Linked DNA regions of Caenorhabditis elegans. The protein of the gene in region 1 interacts with the protein of each later gene in a pairwise test. Each region holds a gene or a part of one and is shown in the gene's direction. Other genes may lie near its edges. The genes, in order: set-6 and lin-1.

What was found.
Region 2: the proteins of set-6 (region 1) and lin-1 interact in a two-hybrid assay, tested with the Caenorhabditis elegans proteins (one study listed by BioGRID).

What each region holds. Positions count from the first base shown.
Region 1 is NC_003284.9:11,969,336-11,976,652, reverse strand, and holds set-6 (Histone-lysine N-methyltransferase set-6), read left to right. Parts: upstream 1-1,973; 5' UTR 1,974-1,976; coding exon 1,977-2,063; intron 2,064-2,145; coding exon 2,146-2,289; intron 2,290-2,387; coding exon 2,388-2,483; intron 2,484-3,058; coding exon 3,059-3,160; intron 3,161-3,274; coding exon 3,275-3,379; intron 3,380-3,524; coding exon 3,525-3,832; intron 3,833-3,879; coding exon 3,880-4,132; intron 4,133-4,662; coding exon 4,663-4,794; intron 4,795-4,846; coding exon 4,847-5,398; intron 5,399-5,932; coding exon 5,933-6,052; intron 6,053-6,118; coding exon 6,119-6,346; 3' UTR 6,347-6,623; downstream 6,624-7,317.
Region 2 is NC_003282.8:2,297,205-2,302,492, reverse strand, and holds the start of lin-1 (ETS domain-containing protein), read left to right. Parts: upstream 1-2,206; coding exon 2,207-2,230; intron 2,231-2,275; coding exon 2,276-2,363; intron 2,364-5,288.

The sequences.
Region 1 (7,317 bases):
TAGATGAATTTTCGTAATTTTGAAAATTCATAAATCTCTTCAAAGTAACTTTTTTCGAAATGTCTTTCAGAAACTTTGTAGTAAATTTTAAGCTCTTTCAGAATATATTAACAATATTTCAGTAGGTACAAGAAGCTTCACGTAGTTACAGAAATAGTACATTTTCAGCCCTACCTTATAATGCGTATTTTATTATTTAATTAAAACTACCATTTATAGGCAAAAATAGATGAATTTTCCAAACTTTGAAAATTCATAAATCTCTTCAAAGTAACTTTTTTCAAAATGTCTTTCAAAAACTCTGTAGTAAATTTTAAGCTCTTTCAGAATATATTAACAATATTTCAGTAGGTACAAGAAGCTTCACGTAGTTACAGAAATAGTACATTTTCAGCCCTACCTTATAATGCGTATTTTATTATTTAATAAAAACTACCATTAATAGGCAAAAATATATGGATTTTCGTAACTTTGAAAATTCATAAATCTCTTCAAAGTAACTTTTTTCGAAATGTCTTTCAGAAACTTTGTAGTAAATTTTAAGCTCTTTCAGAATATATTAACAATATTTCAGTAGGTACAAGAAGCTTCACGTAGTTACAGAAATAGTACATTTTCAGCCCTACCTTATAATGCGTATTTTATTATTTAATGAAAACTACCATTTAGAGGCAAAAATAGATGAATTTTCGTAATTTTCAAAATTCATAAATCTCTTCAAAGTAACTTTTTTTGAAATGTCTTTCAGAAACTTTGTAGTAAATTTTAAGCTCTTTCAGAATATATTAACAATATTCCAGTAGGTACAAGAAGCTTCACGTAGTTACAGAAATAGTACATTTTCAGCTTTACCTTTTAGTGCGTATTTTATTAGTTAATGAAAACTACCATTAATAGGCAAAAATAGATGGATTTTCCAAACTTTGAAAATTCATAAATCTCTTCAAAGTAACTTTTTTCGAAATGTCTTTTAGAAACTTTGTAGTAAATTTTAAGCTCTTTTAGAATATACCAACAATATTCCAGTAGGTACAAGAAGCTTCACGTAGTTACAGAAATAGTACATTTTCAGCTTTACCTTTTAGTGCGTATTTTATTAGTTAATGAAAACTACCATTTATAGGCAAAAATAGATGAATTTTTATTAAATAATAAAATACGCTCTAAAAGGTAGGGCTGAAAATGTACTATTTCTGTAACTACGTGAAGCTTCTTGTAACTACTGAAATATTGTTAATATATTCTGAAAGAGCTTAAAATTTACTACAAAGTTTCTGAAAGACATTTCAAAAAAAGTTACTTTGAAGAGATTTATGAATTTTCAAAATTACAAAAATTCATCTATTTTTGCCTATTAATGGTAGTTTTTATTAAATAATAAAATACGCTCTAAAAGGTAGGGCTGAAAATGTACTATTTCTGTAACTACGTGAAGCTTCTTGTACCTACTGGAATATTGTTGGTATATTCTAAAATTATTCAGCTATATCGTATCGTATTCAGCTATATCGTATCGTATTTAGCTATATCGTTTGTCTTTTGTGCCTTCATTCTTTTAAAGACATAACATTTTACTAATAGGCTTTTTTTTCTAAATTTTGATACTGCTCATACGAATACAATTGAAGATTTTAATATTGTCTTCGCTCCTCTCACATTTGTCAGTCAATTGAACTGGTTAGAATGCACTCTCTAAATCTCTCTTCCCCAATTCCAGTCTCTCTTCTCTCTCAAACTGCTTTAGTATCTGCGTCTGTTAGTACGTCTGCTCTCTATTTGTTCCGCTTTTTCACTGGACAAGATTATTGATTTTTTCAAAACGCGAGTTAACTTGTCATATTGTTAGTTCTTTTTTTCGAAAGTTTTCAATAATTGAATCTTATTTTTTCTTTGTACTATAGTAATAATCGTAATTTTTTATTCATCGACATGAAATTCATTTTCCACAACTTTAATTAGTTTACTGCTTATAGAAAATGGAACGATCTCGAACTGGAGGTTCATCAACATATTCAATGTCAACAGCAAATGTTCCAATAATAACAATAAGTGACGACGACGATGTAAGTGCCATTTTTGTAGATGGAAGTTTGTTTGAAATAGAAACGTTTCCTAGATTTCATTTTCACGATAACTTATCTTCAGGAACTGACCATTTGGGAAGAACCACGGAAAAGCCCCATCTCATCAAATAGTTATTCAGATGAAAGAAATCACTCCCTATCTAGCACATCAAATAGCTCTGTTGAACGGTCTATTATAATTACAATTAGTGATGATGAATCTGAAGTAAGTTTTCAATGTTTTTGACTTCTCAACAAACAAAAAGATATATATTCTGAATAGTTGCAAATTTATAGTTCCGCCTAATCACAGTCATTTTACAGGCTACGGAAAGAAACCAGCAGGAAGTTGTTGATCGAGCGATTTCAAATAATTTGACGGAAAAGCGTAGAAGATCAGTTGAATCTTTTCATAGATTAGTAGGTTGTTTTTATTTTTGAAACGAGATTCTTCAAATATAACAATTTCAACGGTAATATCTACTAGCCTAATTTTAACAAAAAATGTATTCTCTGCACAGTACTGAAAAAAAGTATGAAATTGAAATGTGCAGCTTGCTACTAATTTTTAAATAAGTATAACGTCAAATGCTCATTGAAGCAGTCTGGCGACTTTCAGCTCCAAATTTATTGAACTCTGGAAAAATGATTCGAACGTGAATAGTCACTAGAGCAAATTACTCAGAAGTGACAACGGCCTGGAATGCAGATTAACTGGATTGCTCACTTCTATAACTAAAAACTACTTTCAAATTGTATTTGTTTAATGACAATGTTCACTTTTCATGCTAGAAACTAGAAATTTTTAAAAAAAGTTTTGAATGTGAAAATACAGAAAAAATACGGTTTTCATCCATTGGCCATTATCAAAATTGTTCTTGAACTGTTTGACTCCCTGATATGTTCATATTTTAATCGTACGTGATGAGAATTTGTTTGTATATCAAACAATTGCTACAAAAAAAACATAATTTTCACAATAATACTAATTCCAGCATTCGAAAGAAAGAAAACTGGAAGTTAAGTCTCGAAAAAAGAGTAGGACCTCATCGAGCTCAATGGAAGCATCCACATCATGTACATTTCCAGCACGCCAAGTGGGTTTTACATATTTTATTGCCACCGAATTCCGTTAGTTCAAATTCGCTAAGAACATTTACAGAGAGATTTAGAGAGACCCCTCCTTGTGCAACAAAATGTTTTTTTTTCAGACAAAAACAAAACGTCATAAAAGGAAAACATACAGCACAATATCTTCGTTTGCTCCTCATCACAGTACTATATGTGCAGAACTACGAAACGTCAACCCAGCGAGGGTAATCATATTTACAGATTTTAAAAATTTGAAAACCGAATTGAATAAAACTGTTGTATTTACAATAACTGAAAAACAGTGCTCAACTGTATCATTCAAAATTATCTACTTATTGACAATGTTCTAGCTGAAAATTGTATTTTCAGATTGCGGACTTTCGTCACCCATCTATTTTTGAGTACTCCGACATGAGCTTGAATGAAAGAAGAGAACACTGGAAAAAAGAAATGAAAGTAATAAAGAAACACAACGACATCCGTCTAATGCACGAAGAAGCTGTTAGGTTCGACGACATTATAGAGCTAGACCCAACGTTGAATGGATATTACCGAAGATTCATGGGAGCCGAGCAAAGCACGAGAGCTCTGTTTATGGCTGTTCGATGTCTGGCCACCTTTGGCCGTAATTTCTATGAAGAACCTGAACGTGATCATGGGGAAGAAGAAATACCTGAGTGAGGAATTTTTATGTAGACTTATATGTTATAAAGCTTAATTTCAGAGAGCTCGACCGTTACTTTGAAAAGTTGATATATGTGGCGCCTAGAACACGGATTCGTATTACGGATGATATTCACTTGTCAAATGATACCCACAGAATTCCAGTTTACACAGATGCAAAAGGCGAAACACTAAAAACAGTCAAAATTCCAAACCCCCTTCTTTATGATCACATTATCAACAATATGGTGGACAAAGTTAAAGAGCCGTTGCTATATGAAGCAATCAAAATTGCAGGATCGTCAGAAAATGTGGTATGATGTTTTTCGATTCGAATTTATAAAACAACTGGCAAGTTGAAAAATTAAAATTGTAATTCGATAGTTTTTGCAACGACAGGCTTTGGCAATAGAAAAACATTCTTGAACAGTTGTGATGAGCGACCTAAGAAAAAACGTGTAGAATAAGTAGTAGTAGAGAACGTCAAGTTGGAGAACAAGTAAAAACCATTTTTATGGCTCTAAAATCATCAAATATCACAATTGTAAAATTTTGAACTTAATTTGGAAAACGTTTTGATTTTTTTCAAAATCCGAGAATAAAACGGTAAAAACTGAGTTTTCATCAACTTTATGTTTAAAAAAAATGTTTTTCTTCCAGTTTCTAGTAGTAGTTTTATGTTTGAATTATGTTTAAAATATTTTTAATTCAAAATTGTAAGGGGTTGAAACTGTTAGAATATTAAAAAACACTCTAAGAGAAGGAATTATATATGATTTAAAAATAAAAGTAAATGACAATGCAATATTTCATTTAGTAAAAGTATATCAGCTTTTTTATTCAGATTCGTTGTAAATGTTGTTCCCAAGATCCAGTCGTCAACTGTTTTGATAACAAAGATTGCCCGTGTTTTATTGCAAATCAGTTTTTGCAATCTAGAAACAAAACAACGGATACAAATGAAAAGTTGAAATTTGTAAGTATATTTCTCAGTTTTAATAATTATTTTGCAAATTGTCTATTTTCAGCATACTTTTCAACCCCTTATGTACAACGATGGAAATCCGACTTACTACAATACTGTTGGGTTTGCATGTTCACCAAAATGTGCTTGTAAAGGAGCTTGCACTAATAATGCAACGTACTTGATTCAAAAGAAACTGTACTCTATTGAAATTTATCGTGCAGATCCTCAAATTGGATTTGGAATTCGATCTACTCTGTTCATTCCAGCAGGGACTCCAATTATTGAATACTGCGGAGAACTAGTTGATGGAGAACGGCTGCATAGTTCATTGGAAAATTATAGTTACCAGTTAACTGACTGTGAAGGAGACAAACACCTTTACAACCTGCTTCGTGAAAAGTACAAAAACAATCCAGAATACTATGATGTACTGGACGAATTGAGCAAGCATCATTTTCACTTGGACGCCAAAATGCAAGGAAGTGTTGGCAGATTTGCAAATCATTCATGTACTCCGAATATGGAACCTCTTCGACTTTTCAAAGAAGGATTTACACCCGCCAATATGCGAATGATTTTTTTCACTCTGAAGGACATTTTTCCAGGAGAACCTGTAAGGAAATTTTTATATTTTTAAAATAAAGCAGCCATAGATGGGCCTGCCTGAAAAAGTGTCAATTCTGTTCCGGGTACAACATTTTAGTTACATTAAACTGAAAAAGTTCAGAATATATGGTACATTTTGCATGCAAATCTCATTTCCAATTTGTCCAATCGAGAGTCTAATAGAGGTTGCATATCATATTTTTTGATCAGTAAGACTTGTACAGTTTTGTATGTGATTTGAAAGACAAAAAATCACCTTAAATTACTCCCATTACACATTATTTCTTGAGAATCAACTGGATAAATATTGAAAAATCAACGAACAACTAAAAAATATACTTTTAAAATATTTCTGAAGAACATTTTATTTTTTCGATACACCACTTAGAGAGCAAGTCTAATAGGGACGCATTACTCAGAAGGAAAATACGGTAATCCTAAAAATTTGTGTTTTTCATAGTTTTTAATTTTTCATTGCAAATTATGAAGTCCATTTGTCTGAAAATGTTATATACATAACCATTTAAATTACTAATTTCAGCTTACTCTGGATTATGGCTCAGAATACAAGGTGTTTCGAAGGCAAAGATGTCTTTGTAGAACATTTGCCTGTAGAAGTGGGCCGCATTATGAGAAGTTTTCAAATTTGGATGGGAAATTGGTTAGTCAATGGTGTACACACATGAAGTATCACCAAATTTGCATATATGAATTGGATTGTTTGCAGATTGCATCATGTTTTGTTAGACTTCATCACGCATCCCGCATTCGATATTCGGTGGACTTACAGCTAATAGAAAGATTTTATTCTGTTGGAAAAGTTGAGGAGGTTCGGGTTGATCCATGTGTATCTTTTTCAAAATATAACCTGAAATGGAGGCGACAATTGTCTACAGCGACTTGTGAACGTTTGGAAAACGTTATTGAAATTGAACTGTCCGACGAAGATTCATAACTGCCATAAAATATGATCTAAATTTTAATATTTATGTAATAATTGTATCAAATTTGCTCTATTAAGCATGCACTTCATTGCTGAACTTTGGAATTTAATATTATCAGTTAATACAGTTTTACATATACAGTTTTAAAATAGTGCACTACGAATAGAGCAAACCAGATGTGTGACAAATATTATTTAGTTATGTTGATGTATTTATAGTCATTATGAATTTATTTAATGTGCATTTATATAATACATCGAATAGAAAAAAGTTTTGAATGAAATTGTGTGAATTCTAAAGCTTGTAAACGTTTGGAGACAGTATTACAATAATAAGTGGCAATAGTGAAGCGCCAGGCAATAGTGAAGCGCCAGACTGTACGTTTGGCTAAAATGTCATGTTTCAAATTTCCTCACCTGAGCATTTTTGTCGTTGCCGGTTTATTCATCCAAACGGTTAACATTTTGTACAGAAAAGCAAAAAAACATGAGTCTTCAGGTGTAACAGAGAGCATAATATGATCTTATCGATGGGAAAGTGAACTATGTCTGTGTTAAAATTGAAAGAAGAAAATATTGCATTTGTCACGTAGCCATCGAGTTATTTTAGACGTGATAGATTAAGAAACAAAGTGAATGCATTCATAAAGTTCGGATTCTCGCTCTGAAATAAAGAGTAAATTTATTATTTGCATTTTTCAAATTAAAATCAAAGGATTTTAAATATTCGATGTTTTGTTCTAATCATGAACAATAGTAAGAAGAAAAAACGTGAATTTATCATTTAATACTGATAATCTCACCTGTTGATGATCATTCTGGATTGCGAGGTGTCTTTAAAGATATTTAAGTATTTGAAAACTCCGCTGACTCTTTTCAAGCAGAGAGTCAGTCGAAATGAACAAAAGCAAAGTTTTGAAATCAGTTTGCCTCTTTGTATAGATTTGTGAAAATAGTGAGATTATTCTCATTCCTTACTTGTA
Region 2 (5,288 bases), on another chromosome or scaffold:
AACAAATATTTTGTCAGTTGCCAATATTTTATTAAAATTTTATTAAAATAAAATTAAAGACATCCGAGGTATAGGCTGCTAAAGTAGAGCAAGAGTGGGTTCATTCGACGCACTGCCACGACTTTCCTTCTTTGACAGCCTATATCTCTAATCATTTTTAGAATGTTAGTAAGTTTGACATTAGAACAATATAGAAAAATGGCTGAAAAATGTTTTGTTAAAATGACAGTTTCAAATAAAATCAAAAGATAACCGTGGTATGAGCTGGCAAAGTTGAGCGTGTGAATTCGATGCACCATGTTTGATCCTCTACACTTTAGAAGACCATATTTCGATCGATTTTAAAGATATCAACGTATAGTAAACTAGAAAACTATAGAAAAATACCGTATTTCTTCTATTAATATGGCTGCAATACTATTTTTCGATGGTCTTCCCGCTTGCAATACTAATAGGGAGTGCAAGACTATTAGGGAGTGCAATACTAATTTTCAGAACATTTTTCTGACTTTGAGCTTACTAGTTTTTTTCTGAAAAAGCTCGAATCTTATGTAAAAATTCAGAAAATTTGCTTTTAATTGTAACATATATAATAAGTTCAAAAACTTCAATCTCGTAGAAATGTTGTGAAAAACTGTTGCAAAATAGGCAAATTTTTTTGTTGAAATCCTGAAGTTAACAAGACGGGCCTGCAATAAAAAAGAGTAAACGCAAGGCTATTAGGGAGTGCAAGACTAATAGGGAGTGCCATACTAATTTTCGGAAGGTCTCCGAGGGGCAATACTAATAGGGAGTGCAAGTCTAATAGGGAGGCCATATTAATAGAAGATATACGGTATGTGAAAAACAATTTTTTAGTTGGCAATTTTCTGATAAAACCAATGTCAATCAAGATGTCAACTGATAAAGTTGCATAGGCTGCCAAAGTGGGTTCATTTGAGGTTCAATTGATGCACCATGTCGTTCCTTCTTGGACAGCCTATATCTCTATTTATTTTAATGCTAGTAATTTTAAAATGAGAAAATTATAGAAAAATATTTGAAAAATGTTTTGTTAGTTGTCAATTTCAAATAAAATCAAAAGACAACCAAGATATGAGCTGTCAAAGTTATGCAGTTAAATCCTCCTCACTTTAGAAGCTCTAATTTCAGTTGATTTTAAAAATATCAAAATATAGTAAACTAGAAAACTATAAAAAAATATGTGACAAACATTTTGTCAGTTGACAATTTTCTGATAAAACCAATGACAACCGAAATATAAACTGGTAAAGTTGAAGTTTTTTTTCGATGCACCATGTTCGTTTAATATGATGATTTTCTAATTTTCCAAAATAGTTATATATTGGCAAGTGGAAAAAAATTTGGTTTGTTTTAAATTGATTAATAATGTTAATTGCATAATTGTACAATATTTTGTCAGTTGACAAAAACAACCAAGTTTTCAAAGTTAAGTCTCGAGCAAGTTTCGGTTTCCTACGTTGTTTGGCGGGTTTTCAAAGAGTTTTTTGGGCAATTTCAGACAATTTTGAGCTATTTTGAAGTAAGAAGACATACAAAAACATTGCAGGTATTATAAAATAATTATCAAATAGCTAAAAAAAAATTCTTCATTACACTTAAACAACTTTTGAGCAGACCAACTTTTGTGATTTCCAATATATGATTTTACTTTTAAAAAAAATCTAAGACTAAACCATTTCCCTCAACTTTTAAATTATTCTAACATTAAACCTCTCCTCTTCCGTTTAAAATCGTATTAGCCAAGGGAATTAGGCCTTTGAAACTAAAACTTTTCCCTTGTGTCTTGTGTCACAACGCATTAAAATTTGAAGATATTAATAATTGTCCCACTTTCCACATACTTCATTCTTTTTTTATGAATTGTACAGTAGGCCTTTATGCCTGCCTGGTGCCTAGAGTAGGCATAAGGTAGGCATGAGATCGTAAAGTGACAGCAAGTTTTGCTCATATCTTAAAATTATCGTGTTTTTATAATGTAGATTCAATTCAACAATAAGTGAGCAAAAAGTGTTGTAAATTTCCGCATTTTACAGCCCCCCTCCCGTCCCTTGTTATCTATAGAGTCACTGAAAATAGTAGCCAGCTCGTCACTCATTGCCACGTCATCTTTCATCAGCCGCCGCCACCCCGTACCATTTTCCAGGTCAAAAGAAAGCGCCGACACTCTACAGTTTACACGAAAATGAATCACATTGACCTTTTGAAGGTTTGTCCACTGACTTCATGACTCCTAAATAGTATTCTTTTGCAGGTCAAAAAAGAGCCGCCGTCGAGTTCGGAAGAAGCCGAGGAAGAAGAATCTCCGAAACATACGATTGAGGGAATTTTGGATATAAGAAGTTAGTTTATTTTTTATAGTATTTGGAGCAAAACACACTTGCTACTAAAAGCAAATGTGCTCAATGAAGTTTGGCTCAAAATTGCTGATAGTGATTTTTATTTTGAATGAAAAATTTCACATTTTTCGGCAATTTGCTTATTGTGATTTGAACAGTCGAAATGTGAAATGAAAAATTAGGGGACATGGTGCATTGATTGGGCAACTTTGGCAGTTTATATTTCGGTTAATGTTTAAGATACGAAAAAATATGTAACTACAAAGTTATAGAACAACATATGAAATTTGTTTTGTTAGTTAAAAGTTTTTTGATAGAACCAAAGATAGCCAAGGAAAGTGGTGACAAAGTTATGCACCATGTTTGAACCTCTACACTTTAGGAGCACATATTTCGGTTCATTTTTAAAATATCAACATATAGTAAAATACAAAACTATAGAAAAATATGTGAAAAACAATTTTTTAGTTGACAATTTTCTGATAAAACCAATGTCAATCAAGATATCAACTGATAAAGTTGCATAAGCTGCCAAAGTGGGTTCATTTGAGGTTAATTTGTTGGACAGCCTATATCTCTATTTATTTTAATGCTAGTAATTTTAAAATGAAAAAATTATAGCAAAATATTTGAAAAATGTTTTGTTAGTTGACAATTTCAAATAAAATCAAAAGACAACCAAGATATGAGCTGATGCACCATGTTAAATCCTCCTCACTTTAGAAGCTCTAATTTCAGTTGATTTTAAAAATATCAAAATATAGTAAACTAGAAAACTTTAAAAAAATATGTGACAAACATTTTGTCAGTTGACAATTTTCTGATAAAACCAATGACAACCGAGTCAATGACAATGACAATGACAATGACAACTGGTAAAGTTGAAAGGATGTTCGAACAATATGATACTTTTCTACTATAGTGGCAAGTGGAGCTATTGGCACATTCTCAAAATATTTTACTAACTAGTCTAGTAGAACAAGTTTCAAACCAATTTGTTCTTCCTGCCAGACGGCTGAATAAACCGTAACGACCATGCTCTTCCACCTGTCGGTTGATGCTCAACTACTGATTCCTCTCCCTGCCACTTTTTTCTCTTTTTTTCTGAATTTAGTTTTGGTTTTTGCGGGTAAAATCCGATAAGAATTGATGAATGTGTGTCGCTTTGGGTAGAGCAGCTAATCCGTATTTGGTTTTAATGATGATTTGATGATTTAGTATGGTGTTTCTTTTTTCTCAAGTTTTTGAGTAGAATTTTCAAGAAATTTGTGAGAAAAATGACTTAAATTTTGCCAAAACATAGGGTATTTTTTAAAACTTTGAGCAGAATTTTCAAAAAAAATAACACGATAAAATTCAATTCTAAAATAATTGTCAAGACGAAATTTTCGGTATAAATCCAACTCCCTCTATACATATTTCCGCCTCACAGTACCGCAGGTCCCCCATTTTTGTTTGATTTCTACCGCATTTTCACACCCAATCACTTTTGTATATATATACATACGACATATGGTGTCAATTAATAAGTCGGAGGGGAGGGTGTGTGTTTGATACGTTTATATATTTAGATACTTCTTGTTGAAGAGTCAAGTTAAATCAAACCACATGACAATGTTTAGAGCTTTAAAGGTTCATAACTGGAACTATTGTTTTTATATCCATTTGCAAAACGTTACATTAAACACATGGCTGGAATAAAATACAACCTTTTGTCTTTACTATGCCACAGAGTCTGTAATAGTGTCCTCCAATAATTTAATGCATTTTTACGTGCTTTGCAATTTTTCTGAAAGTATCTTCAAATGGGTGAAAATCACTCATTTTGATATTCTTCTATACCTTTGAATTTTCTTGATATATATGCTTTACTGTTACCCCTAAAACCATCCCAACTAGCATCTGTTCTTCACTATTTACGGGTCTCTTGTCTTCCTTATCTGTTGTTATTGTTGTTGTGCTCTTTCGGAGCAGCTGAAGTTGCGGATTAAAGTCATCTGCGACCAAAATTGACGGATCGGAATATATGGCCGACAAAGAAGAGGTGCTTGAATGGGGTGAAGTGGGGGTCCTAAAAAGATCAGTCATCCGGAATGTTTTTAGGGTAGTATCATATGAAAAACCCCTCTACTCAATTCATATTAAATATTTTGTCAGCCCCTGAAACCTCTTTATCCAACAAGAAAACCGTACTAATGATAGGTTATATCGGAAAGATGTGGAAGGGTGGAACATAAATATTATTGCGTCTTCACGGATTTTTGTGAGATCATCATTTTGGAGATAACCAGGGGGGAAGGTCATCAAAAGGTGCGACTGATAGGCATCTGGTAGTGCATGATTCAGTTTTAGTAGTGTATTTGCTTTTTTTTGAGGACATGAGAAAAATTTAGGAAATTTTTGAACCCACCTTGAGAATTTTGGAATAACTGCTGTAGCCTCTCCTAGGGCTTCCACCAGGGGTGTGCGGCAAATCTCAAAATTTGCCGAGCTCGGTAAATTCGGCAAATCTCTTTTTTCAATATTTGCCGAGCACGGCAAATTCGGCAAATTCGGCAAATTCGGCAAATTCGGCAAATTCGCCGTGCTTAACAAACTCGGAAAAATTTGATATTTTTTTTATGTTTTTTGGAGCACCAAAACTACTGAATTCTTAACACACATCTGGTTTCTGAATAAGTTCCGCGTAGTATGTCTGTTTAAGCATCAAAATAGCTCAATTTTGTATCATTTTACTAAATTTTTGGCTAAAAAATCAATAGTTTTAGTCAAAATTGTACTGTCAAATTTTTGACGTGTGCGGCAAATTCGGCAAATTCGGCAAATCTACTTTTTTGAAATTTGCCGTGCTCGGCAAATTCGGCAAATTCGGCAAATTTGCCGCACACCCCTGGCTTCCACGTAGGCGATAAAACGCCTGCCTGCCTG